Linked DNA regions of Mus musculus: all the other regions are reported to be linked to region 3. The links are microRNA targets in miRTarBase. Many come from high-throughput screens and were not tested one by one. Region 3 holds a microRNA gene; each other region holds the end of a gene's coding sequence.
What was found. The annotated mature microRNA mmu-miR-17-5p reads CAAAGUGCUUACAGUGCAGGUAG and lies in region 3 at 2,052-2,074, opposite strand. An mRNA with a match to its seed (bases 2 to 7 or 8) in the 3' UTR can be bound and repressed. Matches are read on the target gene's strand: a 7mer-m8 pairs with bases 2 to 8, a 7mer-A1 pairs with bases 2 to 7 and ends in A, and an 8mer does both.

Region 1: miRTarBase lists Capn2 as a target of mmu-miR-17-5p. The part of its 3' UTR that is shown has no 7-base or 8-base seed match.
Region 2: the mRNA of Smim20 is a reported target of mmu-miR-17-5p. The part of its 3' UTR that is shown has no 7-base or 8-base seed match.
Region 4: miRTarBase lists Phlpp1 as a target of mmu-miR-17-5p. The part of its 3' UTR that is shown has no 7-base or 8-base seed match.
Region 5: the mRNA of Entr1 is a reported target of mmu-miR-17-5p. The part of its 3' UTR that is shown has no 7-base or 8-base seed match.
Region 6: the mRNA of Kdelr2 is a reported target of mmu-miR-17-5p. Seed matches in the 3' UTR shown: 7mer-m8 at 3,775-3,781.

Annotation. Positions count from the first base shown.
Region 1 is chr1:182,463,491-182,468,563 of GRCm38, forward strand. It overlaps Capn2 (calpain 2), which reads right to left. Exons shown (of 21, transcript NM_009794.4): 21 at 3,763-4,745. The coding sequence ends at 4,722. Among named protein-coding and RNA genes, the nearest start is that of Capn2, 52 kb to the right of the region's middle.
Region 2 is chr5:53,277,405-53,282,477 of GRCm38, reverse strand. Smim20 (small integral membrane protein 20) reads right to left here. Exons shown (of 3, transcript NM_001145433.1): 3 at 3,938-4,581. The coding sequence ends at 4,544. Among named protein-coding and RNA genes, the nearest start is that of Gm40303, 13 kb to the right of the region's middle.
Region 3 is chr14:115,040,685-115,045,757 of GRCm38, reverse strand. Mir17 (microRNA 17) reads right to left here and starts at 2,087; the gene lies at 2,004-2,087. It overlaps Mir18 (microRNA 18), which reads right to left and starts at 1,907; the gene lies at 1,812-1,907. It overlaps Mir19a (microRNA 19a), which reads right to left and starts at 1,758; the gene lies at 1,677-1,758. Mir20a (microRNA 20a) reads right to left here and starts at 1,601; the gene lies at 1,495-1,601. It also overlaps Mir19b-1, Mir17hg and Mir92-1.
Region 4 is chr1:106,393,073-106,398,145 of GRCm38, reverse strand. It overlaps Phlpp1 (PH domain and leucine rich repeat protein phosphatase 1), which reads right to left. Exons shown (of 17, transcript NM_133821.3): 17 at 3,901-5,073. The coding sequence ends at 4,806. Among named protein-coding and RNA genes, the nearest start is that of Gm41928, 130 kb to the left of the region's middle.
Region 5 is chr2:26,379,122-26,384,183 of GRCm38, reverse strand. It overlaps Entr1 (endosome associated trafficking regulator 1), which reads left to right. Exons shown (of 10, transcript NM_026563.3): 10 at 490-1,384. The coding sequence ends at 586. Snapc4 (small nuclear RNA activating complex, polypeptide 4) reads left to right here and starts at 3,531. Exons shown (of 23, transcript NM_172339.4): 1 at 3,531-3,635.
Region 6 is chr5:143,420,464-143,425,536 of GRCm38, reverse strand. It overlaps Kdelr2 (KDEL (Lys-Asp-Glu-Leu) endoplasmic reticulum protein retention receptor 2), which reads right to left. Exons shown (of 5, transcript NM_025841.4): 5 at 3,633-4,736. The coding sequence ends at 4,702. Among named protein-coding and RNA genes, the nearest start is that of Kdelr2, 19 kb to the right of the region's middle.

The DNA.
Region 1 (5,073 bases), not on the chromosome of region 3:
GAGCCAGAAAGTGTGAAAATGAAGAAAAACTCTGGACTGTCAGGAGACAGGGCCTCAGGCTTGTAGCCATGTGGACCTGAGTACACCCTACCAGGTGAGCTGATCTGTCCGGAGATGACTCCTCATGTGTGTGGTGTGCCCTAATGAAAATTTTGTTGGACCCCAGCTGTATACTGTGAGATAATGGATGTTTTTTGTTTTGTTTTTTTCGAGACAGGGTTTCTCTGTATAGCCCTGGCTGTCCTGGAACTCACTTTGTAGACCAGGCTGGCCTCGAACTTAGAAATCCACCTGCCTCTGCCTCCCAAGTGCTGGGATTAAAGGCGTGCGCCACCACTGCCTGGCATGGATATGTTTTTAAGCCATTGGATTTGTATGAGCTGTTGCAGTAGGAGACAAATACGACGTGAGTTCTAGAACTAGACTGTTGCAGTCATTACTTGTCCGACCTTGCCGAGACAGTTGACCTCTGGGAGACTTGTTCTCTTAACACTGGCAGTGAGACTGTGGAGACTGCCGAGGAGTATCGCAAGTCTATAGAAGCAGGAGATGTGGGAAGTAGGGAAGGAAGCCAAGCCGGCTGTTGGCTGGTTGCAAATCCCTTACCCTTACCATTCCTTTTTATTCTCTTTGTAGGTTTTTACCTGTTTTATTATTAAAGTACCAAAGCTTCTTGGGGCTAATATTTGAAAGTGTAGACCAAGGTTACTGACTCAAAGTAACACAGCTTTCAAGGAAATAAGAAACCGTTTGTCTTCAGTCAATTTGAATGACCAAGGGCCAGGATATATGGAGCCAGGTTACTCCAGGTTCCTGTGTTCCCACAAGGAAGCAGTTCCACAAAGGTTATAGTAGAGCAAAGGAAGTCACAAATCAAGGCAACCTAAGACATTGGTGGGTACATCAGAGAGGCAGTTATGCAAGATGGGGAGTCTCCTGTAGGTCTCAGATGCTATGTGATGACATTCTTAGACTCTAGGTTGATAGACTCTAAGACAGTTTTTATCTATTACCAGATGCTAGTCTGACACAGAGGTGGCTTTCAAGGGCCGAAAATTAGCCCAAAATTCAGTGATTAAGCCCTGGACCTGAAGCATTCTAACCAGCCTTAGATGCAGCTTCTGTCTAGGACTAATTCTTTTTTTTTTTTTTCTTTTTCTTTTTTTAAGGTTCCTAAGTAGCAGCTTTTTATTCACACCCCTAAGTTGTGTATAGCAACATTAATCCTCTGCAGTACAATTCTACAACTCCTTGTCCACCCACACTAGAGATGTATTTGGGATTCACAGATGTTCAAACTAATCACATAGACCTCATATATGCAAACCATCTTAAACAATGCCTATGAGACTTTAACAGGAATTACACAATGAAGGCATCGATTCTGGCCAGATTTTACATAACAATCGACTCAACAGAAATAATCTCTGGTACTCAGTGTTTTCTAAGACCTCAGAATTGTGGGTTGTCAATCTGTCTTCAAATCATGATGAAAATAAGCCACAAGTGGTTGTTACAACAGAACTCAGTCTAATACTTTCTCTCCTTTTAATACTACTTGAGTACATATAATTTATTTCATTTGTAATTTCACTCCAAATTTTACATACAAAGCAGGAAGTCTTGTGTAGAGTAGGCAGTGGACACTGGAGAGACACTGTTGGGTATGTTTTGTAGTCTCGTTTTTAGATTTTTTTTTTTTTTGCATAGCTGAGAGCCTGCTGGAAACAATTCTGTATTCTGTTGCTTGCTTGCTATTGTGTGTTAGGATTCAATGGCTATATCAAACTCATAATTTATCCAACAGTTTAACTGTTCTTTAGTTCTGTGTGTGTGTGCTAGCCAGTCTAACAGCAGGATTTATAGGTGCTTTTTGTTTTTACAAAAGGGAGAAGGAAGCCTTGTGCAGTGGGCCATGCTAAGGAGGAGAGTGTAAACTTTAGGTGAAGTCTTGGCTGGAGGTGGTGTCATGTGACTGGAGTCACAGTTGACAAAAGCAAGGGACAGGAGGAAACTAGGGGAATGTGGACTCAGGTCAGAGGAAGAACTGAGTGGAATGAAAGGCAGCAGAGCCTGGCAGGGGTGGGCGGTGGGGGCCTGGAGGCTGGAGGTGTACCTAGGAGCACCCATGACAGATAACTTGGACCGTAGCCACATGAGAAGACTGATAGGCTGTTAATTAGCTAGACGGTACCAGGTGGAGAAGCGATTTGGGGAACAAAGAAGTGAATCTAGCTAGGACAGTTTAGAATCCCTGGTGCCGGGGAAGGACGGGTCAGGATGGGGCAGGAGTGTGATTGTGATGCTGTTGAGGAGAAGCTATGAGAAGAAAAACTGAAGAGATGAGTGTGTCCGGTCCACAGAAGAGCTAAGGCAGGTGTGGGCTAGCAATTCAGGGCAGAGGTTTACAGGAGTGGTGGTGAGATGCAGGCCAGAACAGTTCCCATGGGATCAAAAAGGATGGGAGTCTATCTCCTCCCTGTAAAATGAGCACCGACCGGTTTTTGGTTTTAGGCTTACTTATTTTTATTTGGTGTGTATTGTTGTTTTGCCTGCTTATATGCTTGTGCACCACATGCATGCAGTGCCCATGGAGGTCAGAAGAGGGCATCGGATCTACTGGAACTGGAGTCACAGCAGGTTGTGAGCTGCCATGAGATGCAGGGAACTGAACCCTGTCCTCATTGCAACAAAGCAAAGTTGGCATCAGGGAGAGCGACAGATGGGCTGGCTACATGCTGCCAGCTAGTGATGTCAAGAGTAGCCTCTGCCACTTGGGAGGGGCCAGCTCACACCTCACCCAAGACCACCCTCCTCTCAGCTTCTTACAGCAGGACCCCTGCCCTCACTCCCACCCAGGTCTAGAACTGCTGCCCTTATTGGAATAACCACCCTCTCCCTGCTAGGTCTCCTAACCTCAGACTTCAAACATTCTATCACCTTCCTCCATCCAATCCCATCTTCAGTCCTTCACCAACACTACTCTGGTCACCCATACTCCCAAGACAACCCATTCCCCCCTATTCTGAAACCCCTCAGTGTTGAACAGAGAAAGCTCAATCCAGTGACCCGAGTTAGTTCCATACACACTCTCCCAACTTCTTAACCTTCCCAGCCCACCTTTAGCTGTGTTGGAGAAACCCATCTACTACTTGAAATGGTGCTATAATTCCCCAACTGTGGAGGTGGAGGCAGGAGGATCAGGAGTTCAAGGCCAATGTTAGTTACATAGGTCCAGATCTGTCTGGACTATATGCAATCCTGTTATATATCCTCTACCCCTAGGAGGTGAGGATCTGCCCACAAAACTGTCCATGAAATAGTGGGTAGCACTTTCCCATCATGCTGCCTTCTTTCTTCCCTTCCCATTTTGTGATTCTTCAAGGATCACCAGCGACAGGTCTAGCCCTAGACTAGTGATTTACTATGTGGGTTTCTCAGCTCCCACAATGGCCCCCCATCCCCATGGGAGCAGGCCTAAGCTCTGGAGCCAGCAATGATATAGGGGGTTTCCCCAAAACCGTCCTAAACCAGACCAAGCAGGTGGAATTAGGATTGTCCTTTCTGCCAGAGTGACCAGAACTTCTGAACTAGAGTTTTAAAAATGTTGTACAGTTCCATAGTTTAATTATAGGCAAGATGCCTTCTCAGTGTCTGAACCTTCAGAGCAGCAGACCTCACGTAAGTAGAACCCAGCTGTTACCTGTGTGCTCCTCAGCCCTCCCATGGGGGCCATGCTCTATGAAGAAAAACAAGGCATGGTGCGACTGTGTTGTAACTCTTTATTAACAGTACGTTTGGAAGTAGATAAGGCAATATGTCTGTATGGTTGCTAGCATTTTCCCAGGATGAAGAAGCCAGCTTGGTTGTTTTAAGAAGATCTTCTGAGCCCTGTCCTCCCCAGCTGTAGGCACAGTCCCTGGGGTTTATCACGATCTTCTTGCAGACGGCACACCTGGCTCAGTTGGTCAGAGTGATCTCATTACTTACTACTTGTCAGACCTAAGTGTCTAAGGCCAAATATGGTCAAGGACTTGAGTTTAAGAATGCTAAAGGTATATAAAAACCATCTTCTGTTAGAACCAAATGATGGAAGCAAGCATGCCCTTTTTTTAAATTGGCATTTATTTTCTGAGATCGGGTCTTGCTAGGCAGCCCAGGTTGGCCTTGTGTCAGACACTCCTGGCTCCTGGATTCTTTAGATGCCTCCATCAGACTGGGTTCTTTAGATGCCTCCATCAGACTACTTCGTCATTGTATTTCTCAGTTCGCTCAGGGCAAGCGGCAGTCTCTGGGCTGCTGTGGCAGGTGCCACCACTGCATTTAAAAGTTAAAATTTCTTCAAATATTCCCATCAAGGCCTTGTAGCCTCTGAGATTGGTTTACTATTTGCCCAGTTATTTAAAGCTCTCTGCATTCCTTCCTGATTTAATATTGCTATGGCCAGGACAATGTGTAGAAGTAAAAAGGATATACTATTTACAGGTGTAACGCTTCCTCTGACCTTACCAAGGGTTATGCAATTCATTTGCATTTGGTTTAATAATATGCAAATATGTTACTCTGATATGTGAAAAGTTCATCTATCCCAGACGGTTATATTCTTCAGTTATAATCATCCGATGAAGTCAATGTTCCCGTAAGTTCAAGGTCCAGATACAAAGTGTCTAAGTGTAGTCATTGGCTGTTTTCTTCCACTAGACCTCTCCAGGCATGTAACTTCAGAGTACTGAAAAACTCAGCCACTGTGAAAAAAAGAAGAAGAAACAAAACACTCATTCAGGGAGCGTTGTTAAAATGAAAGACCTTATAGGTGGCTTTGAGTTATTCTGGAGATGGCTGAACCTACCTTCTGGAGTCTCGTCTTAGAAGTTTGATAATTTGTGTGATTTGAACTGGTGGTTGTTGTAGTATTGAATACATGAAGGGTGACATTCAAATAACATGTGAACCAGTTTCACACACTTCTGCCTCAATACACCACATCAGAGGTTTGGAGGTGGGGGTGGTGACGCATACCTTGAGTTATAGGGAGGCAGAGGCAGGCAGATTACTGTGAATTTGAGGCTAGCC
Region 2 (5,073 bases), not on the chromosome of region 3:
AAGTGAACGACGGCCCTAGCTCCTTGTCTTATTTCTAACTCACGTTCTCCTGGGGACCTTTGCAAAATGTAATGAAACTAGCTGCAGTAGAAATAAAACAGATCCATGACGCAAGATGCCAGCCAGCGTCTTCGTCAAGTGACTCTAAATGCTTTTGTATCTTTCTCTCATGTCTGTTGATCATTCTGGGTAGGAAAGAACAGCCCAACAACACTGCTAACCACGATCTATGATTAGGGCTGCTCTAGAGAGAGCAGCCTGGCTTTGTTTTGAAGTCTTCAGGAAACTTCCTGCTTAAGTTTCTTCATGCCTCCTACTAAATCAAATGAAAAAAAAAAATCTGCCTGGCATTTAAAGGTGGGCACCCCATGTCCTTACTACCACTCCATTCTTCCAGGTAACCATCTCTCAGTATCGATGGAGTGCCCACTGTGCATCGAGCTGACAGGTGGGAGAATGCAGTGGTGCACCAGACTCGTAAAGCCCATAATGTAATGATCCCCAAACACTGCTGTATCTAAAACAAGGCCACCATTGTCGTCCAGAGCTCCGTCCACACCATAGCTCCATCCCTTGCCACAAGTCAGAATTCTAGGTACTTCTCAAGACTAGTTTTTTAGCACTGTAAAAAAGTATAAGGTTTTTTAAAAAGGTATTTTTAATATATTAATCTGTATGATTTTACTTCATCTCTATTAACTATAAATGAGTTTTCAGTTGAATACATATCATGTATGCCATGCCTCATCTTGAATGAAGGCTCTAACATACAGTCTAAGACCAAAACTAAAGTGAGAAGAAAATGGCGTGAGAAGGGGATGAGGTCACCATAGTGACCATGGACATGCCGCACATTCACAGGCACTTCTTTTAAAGTTTTATTTCTGTGTGAGCACATATCACATGGGTGTTCACCACATTCATGACTGGTGCTCTCAGAGGGCATGAGATACCCTGGACTGGATTTAGAGGGTCGTGAGTGTGTGGTGCTGGGAATCAAACTATTGGTTCCCTTAACCTGAGCCCTCTCCCCAGTATCCATAGGCAGTTCTTGAAGAGCAGAGCCCCAGTGTCTGAGCTTCTTATCAGCCAAAGGGAATGGTCCTGTTACACACTTCAGTGTTCCCAGGCTGAAATTTGCAACTGCTCAGCGGTATTGCTATTTCTGGCTGTGGGCTTACAAATGTACCCACAGGAGGTACCGTTGGGCATTTGAATGGCTGGATGGAGCTTTCTTTATCCCAGTAACAGCAAGTATGCTTTCAGTTCCTCCCCTCCTGTTACAACCTCTTCCAACACAGCAAAACAGGTCCAGGACAACTAACCAGCCAGGGCAACAGATGAGATTCCACTACACAGTCCTCGAAAGGTTTGACTGAGGAGCAAGAACTCAAAACCTCCCTTGAAAACATTTCTGCTTCCATGCCCTCGTGCGAATGCAGAGATAATAATAAAAGAGACCCAAGGCAGAGAAACGTGAGAATGCAAAGGTCTTCTGTTGGGACAGATATTCACAAGTACTTATATGTGGTGCATGTATACGAAAGATATGTGGGTACATGTCAGTATGGATGGAAGCCATTCGGGGGCCAGCTGCCCTGCTCTCTCCTTGCCACCGAATGTCTGAGACAGGGTCTCTCGTTGAACCTGGAGCTTGACCGGCAGTCAGCGATCCTCGGTGGTTTTTCTGTCTCTTCCCCTCAGTGCTGGGGTTTCAGGTGCTTGTGGCCATGTCAGCTTTTTATGTGGTTGCTGGGGATTTGAACTCAGGTCTTCGTGCTTACATAAAGTGATCTTACCCACTAAACTGTTTTCCCAGAAACTACTTTATGTTTTAAAAAATAAAATTTTCTCATACAACATTCTATTAATCTACATAATCATAATTGACACTTTTAAAGTAATATAATTCTTGTTTTTTTAAGAATGTAGTAATACAGTGCATTTTTCTATAGGTATAATTTGCATGAACACAATGTGGAGCTTTAAAAAAATGTGTCATGTTTGTGCGTGCATGCAGAGGGCAAAGCGGGATCTTGGGTAACCCCACCGCTGCTCTCCTGCTTACAGCCTTGAGACAGTGTGTTTTAAAAAGTGTAAAGCTATCCAGAGATCAAAAGGTTTAAGATGTAATGGTCTGATTTTCCCCTAAAGGGGAAGTCTCTATCCCAGAAAGGTGACAGACAGTAGAAGTGTTGTCGTTCAAAGCACTTGGGAAATGATTACCCTCCCCAGGAAATCACCAAATTAGAACCCGATGTATCTAGTCAATAGCAGACCTGTTTCCTAAATGCACCTAAGCTGCCTCTTATAAGGAAAGTGCTTCAATCACTGTCCTTGGGAGAGGGGGGCACACTAGGACTCCTGGATTGTGAGGCCCTCTGTCTATCCTCACTAGGGCACCTCTCGCCACTCATGGGGCAGGCATGGGCAGCCCTCTGCAGGCTTGTCTGAGACACAGAACACTCCTGCTACAAGCGTCAAGGTGACTGAGGATAGGAAGCCCTTGTATCATTGCAAAAAGGTAGACTGAAGACAAGGGGAGGTAGGTCCCAGGACAAAGATCTGACTCAGGAGAGTCTGCTGCCACAGTCCTTCAGCCCAGAAGATGTACATGCCTCAGTCATCAGGCTCCATGGAGCATTTGCACGATTTGACTTTAAATTACATAACTTCTTGGTGCCCCCTCCAAGGAAAACAGTAGGCAAATGCACAACTAATTAGTCAGCTCCCTCTATTGGGTTGTTAACTGAACGTCAATTCTATATTAGGCAATGTCTCCCCAAAATGATGACTTTGGTTTTAGAACTATCAATCTCATTCCCGTTTGCCAGTCATTACATAATTGAGCCAGCAGTGTGTTAAGAGAATGCCAAGTTGACAATTATGAAATTCTGCCACCAAGCACCTCGTGAAAACACAGGCTGCAGAAACACAAGGCTTTCTGCTGAGAACAGTACCAAGTCGTGTAGCCTCCTGAGGCAAAAGTAGGCAGGGTACCAGAAGTGAGAAGTGAGAAGTGAGAGGGATCAAAGGAAAAGGGGAGTCGTAGGGAGGAGGGGAAGGCAGAAGACAGACACAGAAGGAACCAAAGACAAGGAAGCAAGGGAGGGAGAAAGTAAGCCCAGCAAGAGGAAACTGGGTCTTAGCATCACTGCCGCGACTCCTGGCGGGGAACCCGGTGGGCGACGGGCACTCCAGTAACAGCTGTGTTGGCTATTCTTGGTTGTCAACTTGATTTTATCCGGAAATAACTAAAACCCAAGTGCTTGGGTACACCTGTGAGGGATTTTTCTTAACTGAACCACGTGAACTGGGAGTCCCACCTTTAATCGGGATCTTTTGAGGTGGTAAGATCCACCTTTTGTCTGGGCCACACCTTTTGGTGGAGGCCTATACGAAAAACATGCAAGGAAGTGTGTGCTCTCTGCCTGCTTGCCGTTGCTCTCACGGGGATTACAGACGACTTTTTCGGGATTCTGGTAGATACTAAAGTCCAGCCTTTTGGACTGAACAACTATTGGATTCTTGGACTTTCCATTGATAAGACAGGCATGGTTGGATTAGGTGAACCACAGCCTGTAAGTCACTGATGTAAATCATATTCATCTCATCAGTTCTGTTTCTCTGGAGAACCTAATGCCACAGCTGCCACAAGAAGTGTGCCGCTCACCTTGTCTACAAATAGCTATTACTACACGGATATCTACTCAAATAGAATCTAGACAATAGCACTACTTCTACTTCTTCACATCAGAATTCAATTTACAAAAAAATTCTACTGGGCAGTGACAGGTGGATCTCTGGGAGTTCAAGGCTTGACTGGTCTGACAGACCCTGTCTCAAAAAACAAAATCCAAAGCCAACAAACACCACCCATCCAAATAAAACAAACATATACACACACAAAATATAAAAACAGTACACACCAGCAAACTAAGAGAAACCATTTTAATACCTGCAGCCTCACGCAGGAGTCTACTGTGTGTGGTATAGTCTAGTGTGACTCGCTCCCTATTCACTTCCACACACAGTGACTTTCAATGAGATGGTTAAGCTGAGCAGTGTATATTCTTAAACAGTGCCAAGGATCCTGTCTTCAAACAGTTTTATCAACTGAAACATCCTCCAAGAGCCCTGCGAGGCAGCTTGGCAAGGCCATTTGCACTGAAATCGCTTATTCAGAAGGTGTCAGAGCAGCCACGGACCTTGAGCCCACAGGTTGCTTGTGTTCACATCACAGCTTGGAAGTGATAAAGACTGCAGGAGCAGCAGATCTTCCACAAACAGCCTTGCAGGCTGGCTCTGCTCCTGCAAAGTCAATGGAGCCGCAAGGCACTTCCTAATGGTGGCATCTGTTCAGGTTCTCCAGGGAGTTAAGGGAAGCACTGTCTTTGCACACAGTCTCTATCACAAGGGGTCTGGCTAGCAGCATGAGAGTTCCCTCTCCATGCCATGCTGCCACAGTGAGGCATCTATTGTCCCCACTGCGGAGTGCACAGGATAAAGACGTCCACTTTCCTCATCAGACTTGCTGACAGCCTCATTTCCTGCCAAATGGATCAGACCACACTTTCAACCCTATGGAAAGAAACACAAATACCCTATCAGGATTCATTGCTAAATGACTGAACACACCCCCTTGATCCCAAACAAACAAGATGATGTGGAAATTGAGCCATGCAATTTCCATGTGGCTGAGACATTGAAATGGGTGAGTGCAGCCACTGGAACCCTGCAACGAGGCAGCCATGGCAGCTATGAGGTATCCTTTTAAAGGCTTAGGAACTCTTCCCTGCTAGGAAGAAATGGATCTAGCCTAGGACCACCAGACTGCAGGAGTTTGGTTAATAAGCTAGAAAATCTCTCGTACTCAGCCAACTTGTATCATTTTAAAGGAACATCCCACACGTCCCTGAAGGGAGCTTTGAGAACTTCTCTAGGAAACTGAACCTTAGTGCTCACCCTCACACACGGTCTGCCAGTGAGGGAGGTATTTACAGGGGTGCTCAGTATGGGAGTCTGCAAAGCAGATGATCTGTTGCATACTTGATTCCATTTTATGTCCACTTA
Region 3 (5,073 bases):
TAAGACACACATTCCTTACTAAAATTAAATCTCAATTTAAGTTCAAAACATTCTGAACACAATTACTACCACAAGCTCAGCATCCAAAGGTCCTAATTAAGACCTTATTAATTTTAAACTTCTAATTTAGTATATTGAAGAAAGTACCTGGCAGGCTTCCTATGTTGGAAGATAAACGTAGCATTCAATCCGTAACACTGGTGACAGACCCCTCCCTTTATAGGAGGCACATGGATCATGTGGATCGTGCTGACATTAGAGCTTTATCACGTTTTAAAGGAAGTTTTCATTAGTCATCTGAAACAAGTTTTAATCCAAAAATGTTAAGAATGGAGTCAGAAGTGACTATGTTTCTGTTTTAGTAATAATTGTACAATTCTGGTCACTCACAATCAAACCCAGGCCTGTGGAATCCTTACCTGGCAGCTCAGGGATCCATCAGTCAGCTTCTTGCATTTCTTTTAAAAAAAGCAACATATTATGGAAAACTTTAGCTCTGTAGATAGTGTCAGCTTAAACCTGATTTTAGCAGCTCTTCCTTATTAATTTTACTTTTCTTTAGGTTTCACTCCAATGATTTTTATTCATAGCCTGAAACCAACTGTGCTGCCCAAATGTAGAACTATATATTATATATACTGTTATCCTAAATACTAACTGCAGCTTCTCCAGACCCAGCACTCGAGTGTCATGTGTACCTGTCACTCTACTGACCATCAGTTTGCCATCTTTCCCTTGAGGGGGTCACATGGTAAGAACAGTCCAAGGATAGTTCTTTCTTACAGGGTGTGCACATTAACAGAGTGGCCACCACCTGTTAACTGTTAAGAACTCACGGATTAGGAATAATCTTATCAGAAAACACTCCATCTGAATTGTCACACTTTAATAAACAGAGATCCAAAGAAAGTAACATTTTTCTTAACTCATGTTAATGGGTTTTAGAGTAAAATAAACCTGAAGTCATACCAGGTTCAAAAGGCAGTTTAACTTCACCTAAGCCCCCACACACAACTTCTTACTAAATCCAGCGAGCAAACACGAAAATGAAATGATTCAGTAAAAACAAACCACAATTTAAAAACACAAATTTCAATTAAAAAAATCCCGTTTTACACACCAACGAAAGCAATAGAAATCACAGTTTACAGAATGTGTTCATACACTCCATCAGCTCGTGAACATTTTTACAGTGGAAATCGGCATCTTCAGCAATATTGTCATTTTCACATCTTCTGGTCACAATCCCCACCAAACTCAACAGGCCGGGACAAGTGCAATACCATACAGAGAAACACAGCATTGCGACAAATCCCAACCTGTGTAGAAAGGGGTTTGATTTTCCCTTACTTCTCTACAGACTTTTCACCACCACAGTCAGTTTTGCATGGATTTGCACAGCAGAATATTATACAGCTGGATGCAAACCTGCAAAACTAACCATAGACCAGTGCTCAATAACAGGACAGTTGGCTGGGCGATGGCCAGGCGAGGCTGGAGTTCTACAGCTGGCAGTACTTTAAGTGCTCGTAATGCAGTAGATGGCTACACACTACCTGCACTATAAGCACTTTAGTGCTACAGAAGCTGTCACATCACACACACCACGCAGGCTCTACATCGACACAATAAAAATACAAAATTAGTTTAAAAAAAAACAACACTTGAAGTAAATAGCAGGCCACCATCAGTTTTGCATAGATTTGCACAACTACATTCTTCTTGTAGTGCAACTATGCAAAACTAACAGAGGGCTGCAAACACAACTATGGAGAGACCCCTACATGCTTGCTTGACTTGGATTGGATGAGGACATAACTTCTTATGCCAGAAGGAGCACTTAGGGCAGTAGATGCTAGTCTACTTCACTATCTGCACTAGATGCACCTTAGAACAAAAAGCACGCAGCACCAGCAGGCCCTCCCCGCGACCGACTGACCGACGACTGGACGCAGCCAGTGCCGCCCGAGGCAGCGCCCACTGTGGCTCCCACCGAGGCAGCTGTCAGCATAATGCTACAAGTGCCCTCACTGCAGTAGATGCACACATCACTACCTGCACTGTAAGCACTTTGACATTATTCTGACTGGTCACAGCTTCAGTCCCAAGGTGAGGTTCACTTTATTCCTGCTAAATTTGAAATAAATAATTAGACAAAAAGGAAAAAGCCAAAGCTCTAAATTCTGTCACAAACATCAATTACAGCTTATACCCAAGGGGGGGAGGGGAGGAGCCAATAGCCAGAAGTTCCAAATTGGACACATGTAAGCCTTAAAAAAAAAAAAAAAACTCCTTAAAGAAATATAAGATACAATCCCATTAAAATGTTGGCTTTTACAGTAGGCTTCCCCAAAAAACACACAATAAGGGTCCTACAAAATGAGACCTGTTATCAGGAAGGCAGTCTGACTTGGTACTACCTTTAGAGGAAAGCCTCACATTGACCAGGCAGCAATCCCTTTCTTCTGTCCTCCACATTGTCAGATACTCGACAAGATTAATGATTATTGTTTAGTCATTTTCAAGTTTATTAGTCATAAAACATAAAAAAGTCTTAGTATCACCCCAAATTAGAAATACTCTATGACTCCAACTTGAAGGGTCTACAACTATTTGGTTAGTGTCCAAAAGCCACTGTAGATTTACTACGTTAAAATGTGGCTCACTCATTTATGACAAGAGTTCAAACTGTATTTATTTCATACCTTAAAAGACCAAGAATGTTGTACAAGCTCAAAGACAAAAGTGAAAACCAAAGGTCTCAAAAGAAGTTTTAGCTACAAAACTAGAATATACTCACCCACTCAGGCAAACTTCCTTCTCAGCAAGTATCCTTGGGCAATGCTTCGGGTGCTGCTAGGTCCACGTGTATGACTAGGGTTGGGGGTGGGGTGAAGACAGAGAAAGGGTAAGCACATTTGCTCAAAATTACTACCACTTTCCGAGCCCCATTCCAAGTTGCTCTTCTCTTAATCTTCCTAAGGGGCAATTCTATCCATTTGCCAAAAAAAAAAAAAAAAAAAAAAAAAAAGAGAGAGCCAGGACCACAAGGTCCTGAGGGCAACAATGTATTGGGTGGAAAACGCTGTAACAAAATAAAGTTGAAAACCCACCAAGATTCACATCCGTGCACGAATTAATGTGCCCCTGAAATACTGCAAGATGAGTAGCAGCAAGCCTGAACTCTACTGTCCAGCTCAAGCTAGAGAAAAAGGGCAACCAGGACTAGTCTTCACCACCCCTCCCCCAATCAGGACCTCGTGGCTGCACGCCGGGATAAAGAGTTGTTTCCCCAACTGCTGTGATCCTCGTGGCACGTTGCTCATTTTCTTCCCTCTGGTCACCTAAGAACCACGAGCCCTGCTGCGCTCTCCAGTTTTCTCCCCTCCGCGCCAGCTTATCAAGAGAAAACCGGACGGGAACACGGGATCCTGCCAAGTACCCGCCACGCTCATGGAGCCCGGGCCGGCAGCACATGTCGCACAAGGGGGCAGGCGGCCCTTGTGGGTTCCCCGCGCGGCCGCCAGGGGGCGGCAGGTCAGAGCCGGGCCGCGCTGCGCCGGACGCGGAGACTCCCCCCCCCCCCCAACCCCCGCCCGTTTCTGGGCGGCTGCGCGGCGAGCGGCGGCGCGGAGGCCCGAGCGTGGCGAGGCTCCGGACACGCCGGCCGTCCTTTGTGTCCCGCGCGCCCCCCGGCCAGGCTCCGGGGGAGGGAGGGGGGCGGACAGGGCGCTCGCCGCACGCGGCCCGAGGCCTAAGCCGGGAACAATCGGCGGCGGCGCGCAGTCGCCGCCATGTCCCCCCCCCCCCCGCCCTCGGCGCGCGCAGCCCGCCCCGCAGGAACATGGCGGCGGGGCCGCCGCTCCTGCCGAACCCGCCCGGCCCTCCCGCGCCGCGCTCGCAGCCAGCGCCCGTCCGGGGCTCCGCGCCGCCCCGAGGGCGGGCCGGGGCGTCCCGGGCCGCCCGGGCGGACCGCAGGGGTCGCCTCGCCCGCGAGGGGAGCTGCCCACGCGGCCGCACACAAAGCCCACGCGGAGCGCGGGGTGGCGCCCCGGCCCCGTCGCCCCGCAGCTCCCGCGTCCCGGAGCCCGGCCCGGCGCGCACAAAGTTTCGGGGACGCCGAGTGCCGCCCGCCCACGCCGCCCGCGCGCAGGTTCCTCGTGGGCGCGCCCCCTCCCGGCCCGCGGCCTGCCCCATGTGCCGCCGCCGCTTTGTTCTGGAGGCGCTTTAACTCTCGCCCCCGGGAGAAACTTTCCCCGCACGGCGGCCGCGCGCCCCGCCCGGCTCCCGCCGCTCCCGGGACGGCCGCCGGCCTCGTGCGAAGCCTCCCGAGGGCCATTGTGTGCGCCGGGCGGGCCTCTCCGGGGCCCGGGCCGCCGCCCCCTCGGGCCCCCTCCGGCCCGCGTGCGCGCCAGGACGGCCGCCCCACGCCGGCGCCCAACGGCCCGAGACCCACCCGGCCCGCGGCCCCCGCCCTCCCGCCCGTCCCGCCGCCGCCGCCGCTCCGCTTAGCGCACAACAGGTTTCCCTGAGCCGGCGGCGGGGCGGGCGCACTCACCGCAGCAGCCGCCACCATCTTCGCCAGCCTCCGCGCCACTCCGGCCCGAGGCCCCAGGCCGGGGGTGCGGCGTGGCCCGCCCGGCCCGGTCCGAGCTCGGGGCTCCGTGGAGAGGCACGGGCGGCGTGGGGGACCGTCCCCACCCCTCGGCCTCGCCGCAGGGCGCGAAGTGGCGCGAAGGCGCGGGCCGGGGCGGCGGCGGCGGCACCTCGAAGGACCATGTGGGTGAATGAAGGGCGGCGGCTCCCGCCTCAACGTAAATACGGACAAGCCCCACTCCCTCATTAGCATAAAAAACAAAGTACTTCCGACCTCCCCGCCCGCCCGCCAATCACCGCAGGCCCCGCCCACGGCGGCTCGTTCTTGGCGGCCAGGCGAGCGGGAGCCGGGGGAGCCGCTGGTGGCGCCGCGCCGCCTTCCCCGGGCCGCGCGTCCCCCGGGGTCCGCCCACTGCCGCCCGCTGCCCTCGGCGCAGGGCTCCGGGCCGGGACACCTCGCGCCACGCCCCCGGCACG
Region 4 (5,073 bases), not on the chromosome of region 3:
AGGGCTGTCTTTTCAAGGAAAAAATATGTATAACCTGTTTTCTACCCAGAAGGCTGGGAATGAAGGTGATTGATTGCTCAATAGCCTGGTGATCTGTATTATCTATCATGTGCAGGTCTGGAGGTGCTTAGTAGTAAATGGCCTCTGCATTATTTGTATTGCCAGGGGTGCTCTTAAGTTTTCACAACCAGGACCAGAGGTAGCTAACAGCAGAAATGACATCTACACTATCTGTACGACTGAGACCATATCAGATCCTTTGCTAGGCCTTTAAGATAATACATGTAGCCTATCTCTAGAACCCATCTTCTTGGAAGATGTGGCATGGATTTGAGTTGAGTTTCCTTGTGCTCATGAGACTGTATTACACCAGAAATTGTTTTTTTTTTTTCCAAATTATTCTGTGCTTGAATATGCTGGCAATCAACTGCTCAGGGTCACACTCTAGAGGTTGGGGCCAGCACCATCTAAGTCATACTGAACCGGATTCCTTCTTGCTTCTAGCAGATGGGTACTCTGCCAGTCCTGGTGGTCACAGAGACTCCCACAGAATTTCAACTGATAACTGGAGGGCTCAAAGGTGAGAATGACATGCAGGTGACATTATCATAGAAAAGGAATGTATGTATTTACCTGTGATAGGTGGCAGGTCCAGTACACGATGCGGCTCCTGGGAGTTATGGATCATCTTACAATGAGATACTTATAGCCTGCTGAGGCATTCTATAGGTAGTCATCGAAAGTATGGTAGATCAGGAGCCAAATAAAAATATTGCTTGGCTTAGTCCTAGCTTAAATACAACTCTTAATCCCGAGCTGGTTCCAGCATACCCAGGCATTATTTGGGAGGCAGTCTTAAGAAGACTTGGAAGTAAGTATTGGTGCATTCAAGAACTGGACATGGAACACTGAAAAAAGTCCCAATTGCCATTTTGATGCCCTTTAAACAGACAGGACTACTCGTTAGAGGAAAGTCCAAGTTCACTGGAACAAGGCAGAAGAGCAGAAAGTGAAAGATTTCAGCATGATGATAGAAGATCTTTCTGTCCTTAGAGAATCAGAATAAGTGAGGCTCCAGCTTAAGCAGGAGGGAGACCTTTCTTGAAGCATTCTGTTTGTGTTCTTTGAGCAAAATGAACCAAAGGCCAACAAATGCAATACATATTATTTATATGTACATTGAGGCCAGGAAACAGAACAGTAAAAAACAGGGCTTAAGGGCCATTTGCCCATTTCTTCCTGATGTGTTCAATGTCTTCAAGAAGGGAAGAGGGGCATTTTGAGGGGAGAGCATTCTGCTTTCAGACATTTATGTATATCTAGTATCAACACGGCGCTGGCTTAGACCCTCAAAGCGTCTCAAGATCATACCCCAGCCAGGCCCCTCAGGTCCTGTGCTGGTTTTGAGATGGCCATGGATTGTTGATTAAGGATGAGTGAACATGCAAATCAGATGGAGGTCCTGGAAGGGCTCTTACCTTCCTTTACCTGAGCAAGGTTTAGTGTGAACTTTGATCCAATTGATATAGCAGGTAGGGGTTAGGATAAGAAAAAACAAATCAAAGCTATCACAGATGCTTTAGAGCCATTTACATTTTCAAACACATATATATCAGACATGGGGATCCATATCAGCACAGGCCAGATCAATGACAATGACGAAAGCAGTTGGCCTAGAGTCATTTGCACAACATGGGAATTTCGGAGATGAACTGAAAGAGAGAAACTAGTAGTATTTAATGACAGATATTGGGAGCTCCCCCAGCGACAGTGAGTCTGCTCCCCCACAAGAGAAGTGAGTCTTCTCTTCCACTCGCCACTTGAAGCATTTGTGCCGTGCTCCCGGATTTCTGAGCAGCCTAGTTCTGTGCTGGAATAGTGACAACTTACATGGAAGGCGTTAGTGAGTTTCCGATCTGTCACTCGGGAGGCAGTTACAGATAATATAACCCCACTTTTCAGCGATTATTCTGCTTAGCACCAGGGAAGGACTCAAGACCCTTTGATGAGAGTCAACATTACGCCAATGGGGCTTTTTTTTCTTTTTTCCCCCCTCCCTTAGTTACAGCCAGTAGTGACATCACATATCTACTCTGTAAGACTGCATGCATACCATTAATGCTCTCTGTTTTCCCTTGTTTTCTAACCCCAGGGAAGGCAAGGGTAGACAAATGCTGGATCGATTATAATTCTGGTCGCATGTTATTTAAATTTCCTATTATAGGAACCAAGTAGTCACCAATGATACCACATTGTAAAGCAGAGACTGGTACAAGGTACAACAGACGCTAGGATTTAATGCAGCATCTCTGCCACACTTAATTAGTGGTGAGGATTACTTTCTATTCCATGAAGAAAACTGCTAAACAGTTTCTTCAGTCCAAATGGAGTCGGTGGCCTGGCCCCCAAACTACTCACCAGTAGGTGGTGCTATAACAAAAGCAATCAAAAGAAAGCAGCCACACTAGTCTGGCCCTGGCCAGAGATTGGCCTGATGGGTAAGGGCAGGAAGCCTGGAGGCTGCCTGTATCTGCTAGTAGGTGGCTGATCTGACAGGAACTGGTGTCCTGGCCCCAGCAAGGTCATCAGCCTCAGGGCAACCCTTTCTCCTGTGCAGACATCATGGCTTTAGGGGTCTTCAAGTATTAATAAAATACTTAAAGCTCAAAATCCACTTCAGATTTATAAGCACCTTCACATACACTATTAGAGTGTATCTTGGTAAACAGAAGTGAATAAATTCACCTTAGGAAATAACTGCGGAGGCTCCTACATAAGAGCATGGAGACTTCCCAGTATGTCTGTGCCTCTTTAGTCCCTTCACATGGATGCAACATAAAAGTTTCTCCTCTACAGTACTATGTACTGCCAAGTCCCCCAAAAGAACTTCTCTCTCCACAGTTCCACGCGTGTGATGTGCACAATGTCTCAATGACAGAACGGACAGAGATGTAAATGCCAGAGGACTGTGGATGCACAAACACAGCATCTAACCTGCTGCTCTCTCCCACGTCTGCTGGTTCTGCTGTGTAGCCGCCTCAGATGCTGTCATGGAGTCTACAAGTACTGACTCTGTTCACCAGCCTCCACAGGTTCTGACCCCTCTGAAAGAGTCACACTGTGTGCTCTAGGCCTCCTCCACAAAGATGAACTCTACCCAGAGTTGGGATTTAAGCACTGATGACTTGGAAGCTGGACAGGAAATAAGGCACTGGGGAGCACTAGGAAGTTGTGTGGTTTCTATGTGACCTATGCCCCACATGGTATGATGCACAGTAAGGGAGGGAAGGGCTAGAGAGTCAGGCAGGATCATCCCCTGGGATGACTCGACTTCCAGTTGAAGGCACAAGGCCTCTTCCACACTTGGGAAACACAGTTTCTTCAGCTACTGGGTCCAGTGCTGTGCTGGAGTGAGCTACCTCTTCTTCTGTGGGCTCGGCCATTAGTCTGGGCTGGCCAAGTACTACTGAGGGCACACCTGAAGGGAGACAACAGGGATGCCACCTGCCTTCCACATACAGCTCTTAATTGACAGTTACAATGGAAGGTGCATGGACCTGTTCACGTGATCTCCTGGAAGAGCTGAAACCCATCTTGGTTCTGTAGGAGGTCTGCAGGTTCTCTGCAGGGCTCTCCTCTATGCAGTCCCCATCCAGTCCTCTCTTCCAGTGAGGACTACCTTGCATAATCATAAAAAGAAAAGGGTAACAACAGCTGTGTGTGCGGTTGACCAGAAGGTCGATTCTACTACCTCATTCACTGCAGCTGAACTTGACTATTAAGGAAACAAACCCCAAACCATAATGTTGGTTAATCTCACCCCCATCTATTCCTTCTAATCCTAAACTGGTTTGGCTGTGAGACACACCTGGATGCTGAGACAAAAGCAGATAGATTCAGTACTTGTAAATTTCATATTTATTATAACAAAAATTACGACATGTCCATTTGGGCATTCTGCTTCCATATAACTCTGGATGTGTAGATGGTATAAGGGACTCTATACAGTCATGCTGATTGTGGCAGCAGGAAGGAACACAATTAAAAAATGTCTGTAAAAGGTTCTGGGTTCCCGAGAACAGGGCCACATTATCTGCACAGAAACACGCTGCACATGGCCCACACTGAAGATGAGCTACGTAGGGGTGGGGCAGGGAGGCTCTTCAGAGCGAGTAAGGGGTCAGTTATTTAGGCTGTGTCCTTATGCAAGACTACAAACACTTTAAGCTTCACTATGTAACACTGAGATATTTACAATAGAAATTTCTCAATCAACTGTTCTCTCAGAGAAAATTAGTGACTCCCAGTGACTTAAGTCACCTGACAGAGTAAAGCAACTCCTAGGAGTTAGTCGCCATATTCTACAAATGTCTACCATTTTCAAGACAAAAAAAAGCTTTCCCCACAAAGAAATACACAATTACAATATTATTAAATCATTTAGCAATGGCAACTTGCCCTGCCTTCCAAACAAACAAAACAACAAAAGCCATTTTTAAAAATATTACATTATCATTAACTGTTTCTCTGTAATATATTAAACCTTTTGTTCTTTGTCTTTACACAGTTGATATGTTAGGGAAAGAAGTTAACAAATTTAAATCATATTGGTAAAGTATCACTAGAAGAAAAGTGGTTAATTGTTAAAAGTAACCAATACAAAGAGAACCTACAGATGAGCTGCAGAGACAGGTGGGGCAGTGTCTGGGAGAGGGCATGAAGTTAACACCCCTGGTTTAATGTGAGCCTGGGAGACTCTCAGTCTCTCTGGTTAGTTTATTGTTTAAAACAGTACTCAGGCTGGGTCATAGCGGTGTATCGTAACAGTCTGGCAGGTGATCCATTTGGAAGTGCCGCTGTGGCTGTGGCTGTGGCTGTGGCTGTGGCTGTGGCTGTGGCTGTGGCGGCTGGGGTGGTGGTGGCAGCTGCTGCTGCTGCTGCTGCTGCTGCTGCTCCTGGTGATGTTTCATGATTTCTTTGACTTCCTCTTCCAGCTCTGGGGGGATGATAAACTGATCATCTGGATCTGGCTGAGCAGGGGCTGCAAAATAGCCTCCTGGCTTCCGGAGAGGC
Region 5 (5,062 bases), not on the chromosome of region 3:
TGAAGGGGAGAAGTCTGCCACAGTGAGCATACTGTGAGCTAGTCAGTTGGTGATGATAATGGTGATTAAACACTCACCAAAGCTGCAGCTTGTTAAACTTGTCAAGATGTAGTTAATTCATCTGACCTATTAAACACAAAAGCAAAGTAGTCCCCCTGGTAGAGCTCTCATGACTAGATATGGGACTTGCGGTGGGACTACTGCCCACATCACTGAGAGTACTGCATCATCAGCTTGGCCTAAGCAAAGAGCAAAATTCAGAATCAGTTTCTGATGAACTTATCTGGCTTGCAACCTACCATCTTTAGTTGCCTTCCCTAAGCTTCACTATAGGGTGGCTGGCCTGTGCACAGGCACATGGGCCAGAGGGCAGCCACACAGAATCCAGTGTGGCAAACCTGGTTGATAGCTCTGGGCTCTCTCCTTTAGATCTGTCTCTGGCTGCCTTTGCACGGCTGAAATAATGGCCCTGGTCTCTCTCTGCTTTAGGCAGCTGGTGTCTGGGGCAGACACACTGAACCTTGTTGCTGAAATCCTCAAGTCTATCGACAGAATTAGTGAAGTTAAAGATGAGGTGGACTCTTGAGACGCTCTACCTGCCACCGGGTCCCGTCACCTCTGCACCGAAGGCACCACACATCTTCCGAATGTGTTCCTGTCTATGCAGTCCTCATCAAAGCATTTCACGGCCTAATCATGTGACTGGCCATCTGCAGTACGGGGCTCCTTTCCACCAGTTGAACCTAACAGTTTACATGAAGTCCCACTGTTCGATAGACTCACTGATTTACTGGAAGACACTTTTATAAAACCACTAAAGCTGAAACGACAGTTTTGTAACAAGCTTCTTTCACCACCCTCTCTAGGACGAGGTCGGGCTCAGCCTCAGTGTTGTCAAGTGGAACACGAAGTGAGCCAGTGTGTAAGTGAGCAGCCTGTACAGAGACGCGTGCCTCACTGAGGCAGCACCGCTTGGTACGTGCTGCCGTCCTCCCACCAGGACCATAGGACCAAGGTCACACACTGTGCACAGTGCAAAGCTTCATACACCCTCTACTGTGTGCTGTCAGCTTTGGAAAGCCATTTGGGGCTGTCGATTTTGATGCACGTTAATGTGTTTGTGTGCCTTTTGTATAGTGCAATTCAGACTGGAATTAAAGCACACACCCACCTGGGGGGTCAGCACCAGCTCTTTGGGCTGGCTGGCTGGTTTTTGAAGGACAGGCAAGACATAAGCAGCTCCCTGTGCTGTGCTGAGGGGTCAAGGTTTGGGGGCCACTTTCCTATAGGTTGTTTTTTTGTTTTTTTTTTTTAATTTATTTTCCCTTTTCCCCTCCTGTTGAGATCAACAGCTTTCTGATCTAAATAAATCTTAAAGATCATTTAGACTGTCTTGTCATTTACTCAGGGATTCATGCTTGAGAGCTACCCTGCTCTTTTAACTTCAAGGTCTGCATCTGAAGATATTCCTGCAGGGTAGTGGTGGCGCACGCCTTTAATCCCAGCACTCGGGAGGCAGAGGCAGGCGGATTTCTGAGTTCGAGGCCAGTCTGGTCTACAGAGTGAGTTTCAGGACAGCCAGGGCTACACAGAGAAACTCGAAAAATCAACAAACAAAGGATATTCCTGCCATTGCTGGGTTATCGGACCCTCAAGTTCTTGACCCTTGGAGTCAGGCATTCACAAGAGCCACTACATCAACATATCACAACATATCACATACATATCACAACATATCACATACATATCCCAACATATCACAGAGCCACTACATCAACATGCCGGATGAGCCACATCCTAGCTTCACACTAAGGCTGGGTGGATGGACGCCTAGCAACTAAACCACTGGGCCCTTTAACTCACAGCTTTTTAGAAGCTGTCCCCACCCCCAGAGCAGATCGCAGTGCAAGGTGGCGGGACACAAAGGAAGACCAGGCTAGTGTTCCCTCTGCTCACAAGGCTTGAGTCAGAGCTGCCATCAAGAGGAACCGTCAGCCTTTCTCCACCACTGCAAGTGAACCGGATGAGAGCTGCACAACTACACTACTCTCAATTTACGTATGAAGTGTTCCTAAAGTTGTACAAGCACCATAGAGCATGGTGGTACATGCCTTTATTCAGAGTACCAGGAACAAAGACGATCCCAGTTCTCAATCAGTCTGTTCTACATAGACTGTCTCAAGAAACAACAGTACCCCAGGGAAATTTGCCTGATAGTTCTTACCAGGCTTGCCCCACACAAGTTCCTACACCAGGAACCTACAGGTTTCCTTTAATGCCCCAGACTCCCTCTGGCCAAACCCAACTCTGGGCCAGACTTGATATGACTCTTATTTTCTTTTTTGAGACAGTGTCTATATAGTTCTGAAACTTGCTTTGTTGTATATCAGGCTGGATTTGAACTCACAGAGTTACACCTACCTCTGCTTCCTGAATGTTGGATTAAAGGGATGCACTATTACTCTTTGATTTCATGATTCTGTACCCACTCCAGTAGTGTTGCAGGTGACTTCTAGCTTGTAGTCAGTTCTCCATAAGACCAAGGCCCTTCCCAGGTCCCACAAACTGGCCAGTCGCCAGGCTTGGTTTTCACCAGCCTTGAGCCTCAAGCCACTGCCATGCTTCTCCTACTCACAGGCATTATTAGGCACTAGGAGGACCCAGCTGCCTAGGGAGAGTAGAATTAAGGAAGCTGTTAAGAATTAATAATGGAGAGAAAGTACCCAAGGAGCTAAAGGGATCTGCAACCCTATAGGTGGAACAACATTATGAACTAACCAGTACCCCGGAGCTCTTGACTCTAGCTGCATATGTATCAAAAGATGGCCTAGTCGGCCATCACTGGAAAGAGAGGCCCATTGGACTTGCAAACTTTATATGCCCCAGTACAGGGGAACGCCAGGGCCAAAAAGGGGGAGTGGGTGGGTAGGGGAGTGGGGGGGAGTGTATTGGGGACTTTTTGGATAGTATTGGAAATGTAAATGAGGAAAATACCTAATTAAAAAAAAAAAGAATTAATAATGGGCCGGGCATGGTGGCTCACGCCTTTAATCCCAGCACTGGAGAGGCAGAGGCAGGCAGATCTCTGAGTTCAAGGCCAGCCTGGTCTACAAAGTGAGTTCCAGGACAGCCTGGGCTATACAGAGAAACCCTGTCTCGAAAAAACAAACAAACAAAAAATTAATAATGGATAATTATTGGTATTTTGTTTCATAAGAGTGAGACCGACCCCCCCCTCCCCGCCCTCCCGCCCCCCCCCCCCCACTACTTAGCCAGCAGCTCTGTGATGTGTTGGCCAGGCAGAATAATCCTTAGTGAATGAATGTCCATTTCTGGCGGTCCCAGGTTGTGGGCTCCGAGGACGACACACACGGGAAAGTACTTAACGACACACTGATCATTCATCCAAACCCAGAACACCAGGAGCTAAGTACACAGCCCAGGGAACCTGGAGAAAGATGAACGCCTCGCTAGGGCCCCGCCCCCCAGCACACCTCCTAGCATGCCCTGCGCCGCAGCCTGGGTGGGACTTCCGGTGCAAGCCTACTGACTTCCGCGACTGCTAGAAGCATGATCTGCGTGTGGTCGCCCGGGCGATGATGCCAGCTGTGAAGTTTGGAAGGGATGCCTAGAAGGTGAGGATTGGCGGGCGGCAGGTAGCAGGCGTTGTGTCCAGGAGGGGCAGGGCAGCCAGCACGGGGAAACCGAGGCGTGGCGTGGCCGCGACATTGCTGGAGTGGAGAGCCCGCGTCCGGAGCCCAGCCGAGGTCCCCTAGCTGGTGAGATGCAGGACCGGATTTGCTCCGTGCTGTGCTCCGAACCGCTGCTCTAACCGGTTGCATGCGCTGCAGCACCACCGGCCACCCCTGGCTTATCGAATCCAGCCACTAAGGGTGCATTGGACCCCAACTGCCTTGCCCGGTTAGGCCTTAGAAGGGACAGGCAGCAAAGTGTCTCTGATGTCATTAAAGGCGGACCGTGGCTCCCAGCTCAGGACTTGAAAACGTGACTTTTTCTTCCTTTATGTGGGCGATGCTGTGGGAGGAGATGGAATTGCTGCTGCCTCAAAACACGTTACTCTTTCGTTGGTGGCCAAGCATCCAGTGGCAATGATTATTGCTACATCTGTAGATCCCGCTGTTTCTAGCCAAGTTGGTTGACAAACGTTCCCTGTATAAGTAATTGGAATGTCGTTGAAGGGGATTTTGTTTTGTTTTGTTGTAGTCAGTTAAGACTGCTGTCAACAACTTAGTAGGAAGAAATCAAACAGGATGTTTTTCTTCATTTCTGGCTCTGGGTGTGAAAATGTGTTTGATAATTTTGTTTGAAACAGTATCTCACTAATGGTTTGAAATGCAGAGATCCACTTAGTTATGCCCCCCAAGTGCTGGGATTTAAATTATGTGCCATCACACTCAGCTCTTTGTTTCTTTATTTTGGTTTTTGGTTTTTTGGGTTTTTTTTTTTTTTTTTTTTTTTGGGCGGGGGGGGGGGGGGTGGATTTTCCGAGACAGGGTTTCTCTGTATAGCCCTGGTTGTCCTGGAACTCACTTTGCAGACCAGGCGGGCCTCGAACTCAGAAATCCGCCTGCCTCTGCCTCCCAAGTGCTGGGATTAAAGGCCTTTGCCACCACGCCCGGCTCTTTATTTTGTTTTTGAAGACAGTTTCTTTTAGAGCTCTGGCTGACCTGGAACTCACTCTGTAGACCAAGCTGGCCTCAAACTCAGAGATCCCCCTGCCTCTGCCTCCTGATTCCTGGGATTAAAGACGTGTGTCACTATACCCGACTTCTACACCCAGCTTTTTACAGTTATTATACTTGTTTATTTCCTTGTGTGTAGGTAGATGTGCCATAGTGGGGGAGGTCTGAGGGAAAGCTGGAGTAGGGTCTCTTCACCATTGATTACTGGTCCTGAATTCAGGTCCTTAGGCCTGGTAGCAAGTGCCTTTGTATGGTGTGCCATCTCACCCACCTGAGCTTGTGTTTTCTAGAATCATCTTTCACACTTCTCTTCCAAATTTCCTTTGCCCTCAGACTTTGCTTACAGTGTACCAGAGAAA
Region 6 (5,073 bases), not on the chromosome of region 3:
GGGCTGGAATTACAGATAGTGGTGGTTGTGAGCTGCCATGTGGGTGCTGGGAATTGAAGCTGAAGAGAATCCAGTGTTCTTAACCACTGAGCCATCTCATCTCTCCAGCACTCTCTCCTACCTTATTTTTTGAGACACGGTCTCTATGTTGGCTCTTCCTGGTTGTCAACTTGACTACATCTGGAATGAACTACAACCCAGAAATGGAGGGCACACTTTTGATCCAGATCTTGAGCCACAGTGGCCATGAAAAGCTTAGGCCCAGGCAAGGTAGTACAAACTTTTAATCCTAGGAGACAGAGGCAAGCAGATCTCTTCAGTTCAAGGCCATCCTGGGAAAAAGCAAGTTCCAGATGCAGGCGTGGTGGCACACACCTTTAATCTGGGCCATACCTTCTGCTGGAGGCCTACATAAGAACATTGGAAGAAGGAAGGCCTTCCTCTTCTCTGCCTGCTTGCACTTACTTGCCAGCACATCTGTTGGAACCTGCTTCTTCAGGATGGCAGCTTATACAGAAGAGCAGCTGGAACACCTACCCTCGTGGGACTGAGCAACTACTAGGTTCTTGGACTTCCCATTCACCGCTGCCCACTGTTAGATTAGGTGGGATGCAGACTTTAAGCCATTTCAATAAATTCACTTAATATATAGAGACATTTCATAAGTTCTGTGACTCTAAAGAACCCCACCTAGTAGTCTCTCTCACTTAGAGCTCATTTTTTTTTTTCAGCTGGTCTGGCTTGCTAGCACACTTCTATATGAATCCCCTCAATGCTAGAGTTACATCCAACTTTTAGCTGGGAGCTAAGGAGTCAAATTCAGGCTCTTAACCAGTGTGGTGGCACACGTCTTTAATCCTAGCACTCGGGAAGCAGAGGCAGTTGGCTCTCTGAATTTGAGGCCATCCTGGTCTACAGAGTGAGTTCTGGGACAGTCAGGGCCACACAGAGAAACCCTGTCTTAAAAAAAAACAAAAAACAAAAACAAAAACAAAAAAAACCAAGCCAACAAAAACAAAATCAGGTTCTTGTTCTCCTCTCCCTAGCCCCACATTTTAGAGATAGATCTCAGTAGGTTTCCAAGGCTACTTTGAATTTATGATCCTCCTGCTTCAGCCTCTGGAGTGACTAGGATGACAGTCCTGTACCACATACCCGGATTCACCAGGCTTTTAAATAGCAGGGATAAGAAATAGGAATTATATAAACCAGGACTTTGATCCCAGGACTCTGGAGGCAGAGACAGCCAGATTTCTGTGAATTCTAGGTCTACATGTGGAGTTCCAGGCCATCTGCACAGACACAAAGATCCTGTTTCAAAACAAAAGAAAAAGGGGGGAGGGGATACAGGAGAAACCAAATCCCACACTAACCTTTATAGGGTCAGTGAAGGATGATTGACAGCTCAGGCTACATGGGAATCTCACAACTGACCACTAGGGGGCGGAAAAACCAACCCCAACCCCACGTGGGGTTCCGTATTTACCCATTAGTCATCAAACCTGAGGTCCCGAAAAGTCAGTTTCTACACATCTATTCCTTTTCAAAACTTTATTTGTGGGTGGAGATATGGCTTAGCAATTGAGAGTGCTACCGATCTTGAAGAGGACCTGAGTTCAATTCCCAACACCCACTCACAACCCCCTGGAACTCCAGCTCCAAAAGGCTTTGATGCGTCTGGCCTCTGCAGAGACCCACATACCTAGACACATGACTTTAAGTATCTTATTTTCATTCTTACTGTCGGGGTGTGTTTACATGTGAGCATACATCACAACGTGTACATGGAGTCAGAGGGCAATCTGTGGGGTTGGTTTTCTCCTTCTACCCAGGTATTGAACGCCAGCCACCAGGCTTAAGCAGCAAGGAACTCTACCCACTGAGCAACCTCACACACCCTATAGATGTTTCTAACAAGGATTCTGAAACATCTAGCACAACTAGCCAGTGTCCTCTGGGTACCAATCTCCAGGAGGCTTTCAGGGCAGCTAGCTCTCCCTGGAGAGTGAAGGGTGAAGGAAGTCGTGCAGATCACTTCACCAAGAGGGGGTCTTTTAAATATTTTTGTGCGGTGGAGGGGCATGCACACACCATGGCACATGTGTAGAAACCAGAGGAAAACGCTTCCCTGTGTTGTAGTCTCCAGAGATTGAACTCGGGGAATCAGGCTTGGCTGCAAGCACCTTAATCCATTAAGCCCCATCTTGCTGGCCCAAGGGCTTAGTTAAACTTTTTTTTTTTTCTTCTCCCTCCGGCCCTGCTCTTTCCCAGTGTACAAGGCTTACGGTTTATTTATTTTAATATATGAGTATAGTGTTGCTGTCTTCAGAAACACCAGAAGAGGGCATCAGATCCCATTACAGATGGTTGTGAGCCACCATGTGGTTGCTGAGGTTTGAACTCAGGACCTCTGGAAGAGCAGTCAGTGTTCTTAACTGCTGAGCCATCTCTCCATCCCATTAAACTTCTTAAACGTTGCACTTGGGAGTTTCTCTACAGAACTGAAATTCATAGTAATCCCATGTTTTGAGATGCAAGACTCCACACGAGCCTGAGTCCAAAATGCATCATTTTACATAAAAAACAGAAGAAACCCCCAAACTTTCATATCCGCTGGGCATAGTGGCATGTCGTTCATCCTAAAGGACTTCAAGCGCAGAGGCAGGCATGTCTCTGAGTTCAAAGTCAGACTGGTCTACATATCGAGAGCCCATCTCAACAAGACCTCCATAAACCTCAATGAGAAAACGTTACTTGACAACCTATATTCAGGCAGCAAACTTGACTGTGACACCATGCTTCAAAAGTATGCCACACACGGCCATGCCTCATGAGGCCAGTCTCTTCAGGATGTCATGCTAGGTGGTAGGCAACATCACAGCCAATTTTATCGTACTTGGGTATTGTGAGAAGAGAAGGTGCTGGAAATGCTGGAAACCTGAGGCTTCGGTTCTGCAAAGTATCCCTAACCCCAGCCAGTGCACCCCCCCCCCGCCTCTCACTCAGCCCCCACACAAAATTATTTGAGGCAAGCAGGTCCAAGAAAGTAAAGACTAAGACGCTGGGGGAAGCACACTCATGTGTAAGACAAAGTCACAAGGCACAGGAGCAAGGTCAAGCAGGGGCAGGAAGAGGCAAGCCTACAGTTGTACTGCCAACTTTGCTGTAGAGACCCCATGGTAAATAAAGACAACCCTCCTAGCGCCCCTCCTCCACAAGCCACTTTAATTGCAGGAAGCAAAACCACTCCATTTCTGCAGTCAGCACACTACAAGTATTCAACACTTCTAATATTAACGGTGCATCGTATAAAGTCACAATATGATGAAAAACCCTAGTGTTCCCATCAACAGGGCGTTATCCATATTACTTTTGTGTATGTAAGGGTGATACATGCATGTGTATGTCCTCAGAGCCCAGAAAAGGGTGCTAGAGCCCCTGGAACTGGAGTTATAGGTGACTGTAAGCCACCACATGGGTGCTGGGAATTGAACTCAAAGGACAACAAGTGCCTAGCCATCAAGCCATCTCTCCGTCTCCTTAGGTCAGTCTTAAATGTATGCAGCCCTATAGAGCTTTTGCTGCATCTAACACTGAATAGTTGAAGCCTGATTCATAGAAAAGACCATACATTCTGTTTAATAAAATGTTTATTTAGGATGTTAACACAATATAGGTCATGCAAGAGCCCAGTTTAAAAAAAATACTAAAAAGAATGTAAGGAATGATAACTGGTGTTGCCAATTAAAAAGATTGTCAATCATTTTATCACCAAAAGTGCTATGAGAAAAACATTTGAGTCTAACATGGTTGTAGTGATCCTTCGGACTGACAGTGACAGGTGGCTATTTGTGTTCCATTCCTCAGAGGAGCTGAGTCCTCTATCCAAAACAGCCATCACCCCCAGCCCTCTCCATAGTCAGAGGGCAGGTGGCTCAGACCCTCTGGGTGTGGCAGCTCTCAGCACCCTCGGATAACCTCAAGCTGCCACACCTCAGCGGGGGAAGGGTGAGCGTTTGGTGAGCATCAGCTGAGTTTCTGCTGGGAACCTTCAAGTTTTGGTAATGAAACCTTAGGACTTTCTAGTCATCCTCCCGAACCTGACATGTAGTGTGACATCTGAGGAAGGGTTTCCAGGACAACGAGGACTCTTTTGGACAGAAACACCAATGGAACACAATGTCTCAGATTTCAAACAAACACAACTTATCTTTTTGGCAAAAAAAAAAAAAAAAAAAAAAAAGAAAGAAAGAAAAGAAAGAAAATAAATAGCATGGAAATTTGACAGATGTTTGGATAATCTACCAAGTGTCAAGGAGTATAATTTCATTGTAGACACAAAGAATTGACCACCTCAACAAATTCTCAAAAAATAAAAAAGGCTTGTACTTATTGTGCACAAAATCGTCACTTTTGGAAACTGTCCCAATTCATCTACATACTGAATTTATTAACACAGCATTAAGTTTCTTTGTGTAAAAAAATCTTTGTACATAGTAATAAAAAAGATAAGGCAGGATGCAGTAGACAGAAGCCTCCTGGTCTCTTCCTCTGCATCCTCGAAGAGCCACCAGTGAGTGGCTGCCGCAGAAGCCTCTGCTTCTGCCCACTGAGCATCCCGAGCCTTCGCCTTCGCCTTCGCCATGGTGAGACCCTGTCCGAGCACCCCGAAGGGCAGAGGCTGCTGCTGGTCTTTGGCACTTAGGCTGGCAGGCTGAGCTTCTTCCCTTTGAGTACTGCGATTGGACAGATAGAACAAACAAGAGGTTACCACGTGGGCGAGCTCAGTCTCCTTTCCCCGGTCCTTGCTTCATACACATGCCCAAATACAAGGAGCTAACAGAAACGCACACAGCCAGACTAGTCGGGAGTGGCGCACACCTTTAGTCCCGGCACTCAGGAGGCAGAGCAGCAACAGTACGAGACTTAGACTAGCCTGTGCTCATAGTGAGACTCTGTCTCAAGAAAAAACAAAGCAAAACAGAAAACAAACCTAAGATGCTATGTCCTGGCACGGAGCAGGCCCACCACCAGGCACCTGGCTGTGTGGCTAAGGGTCCCAGGCTAGGTCTG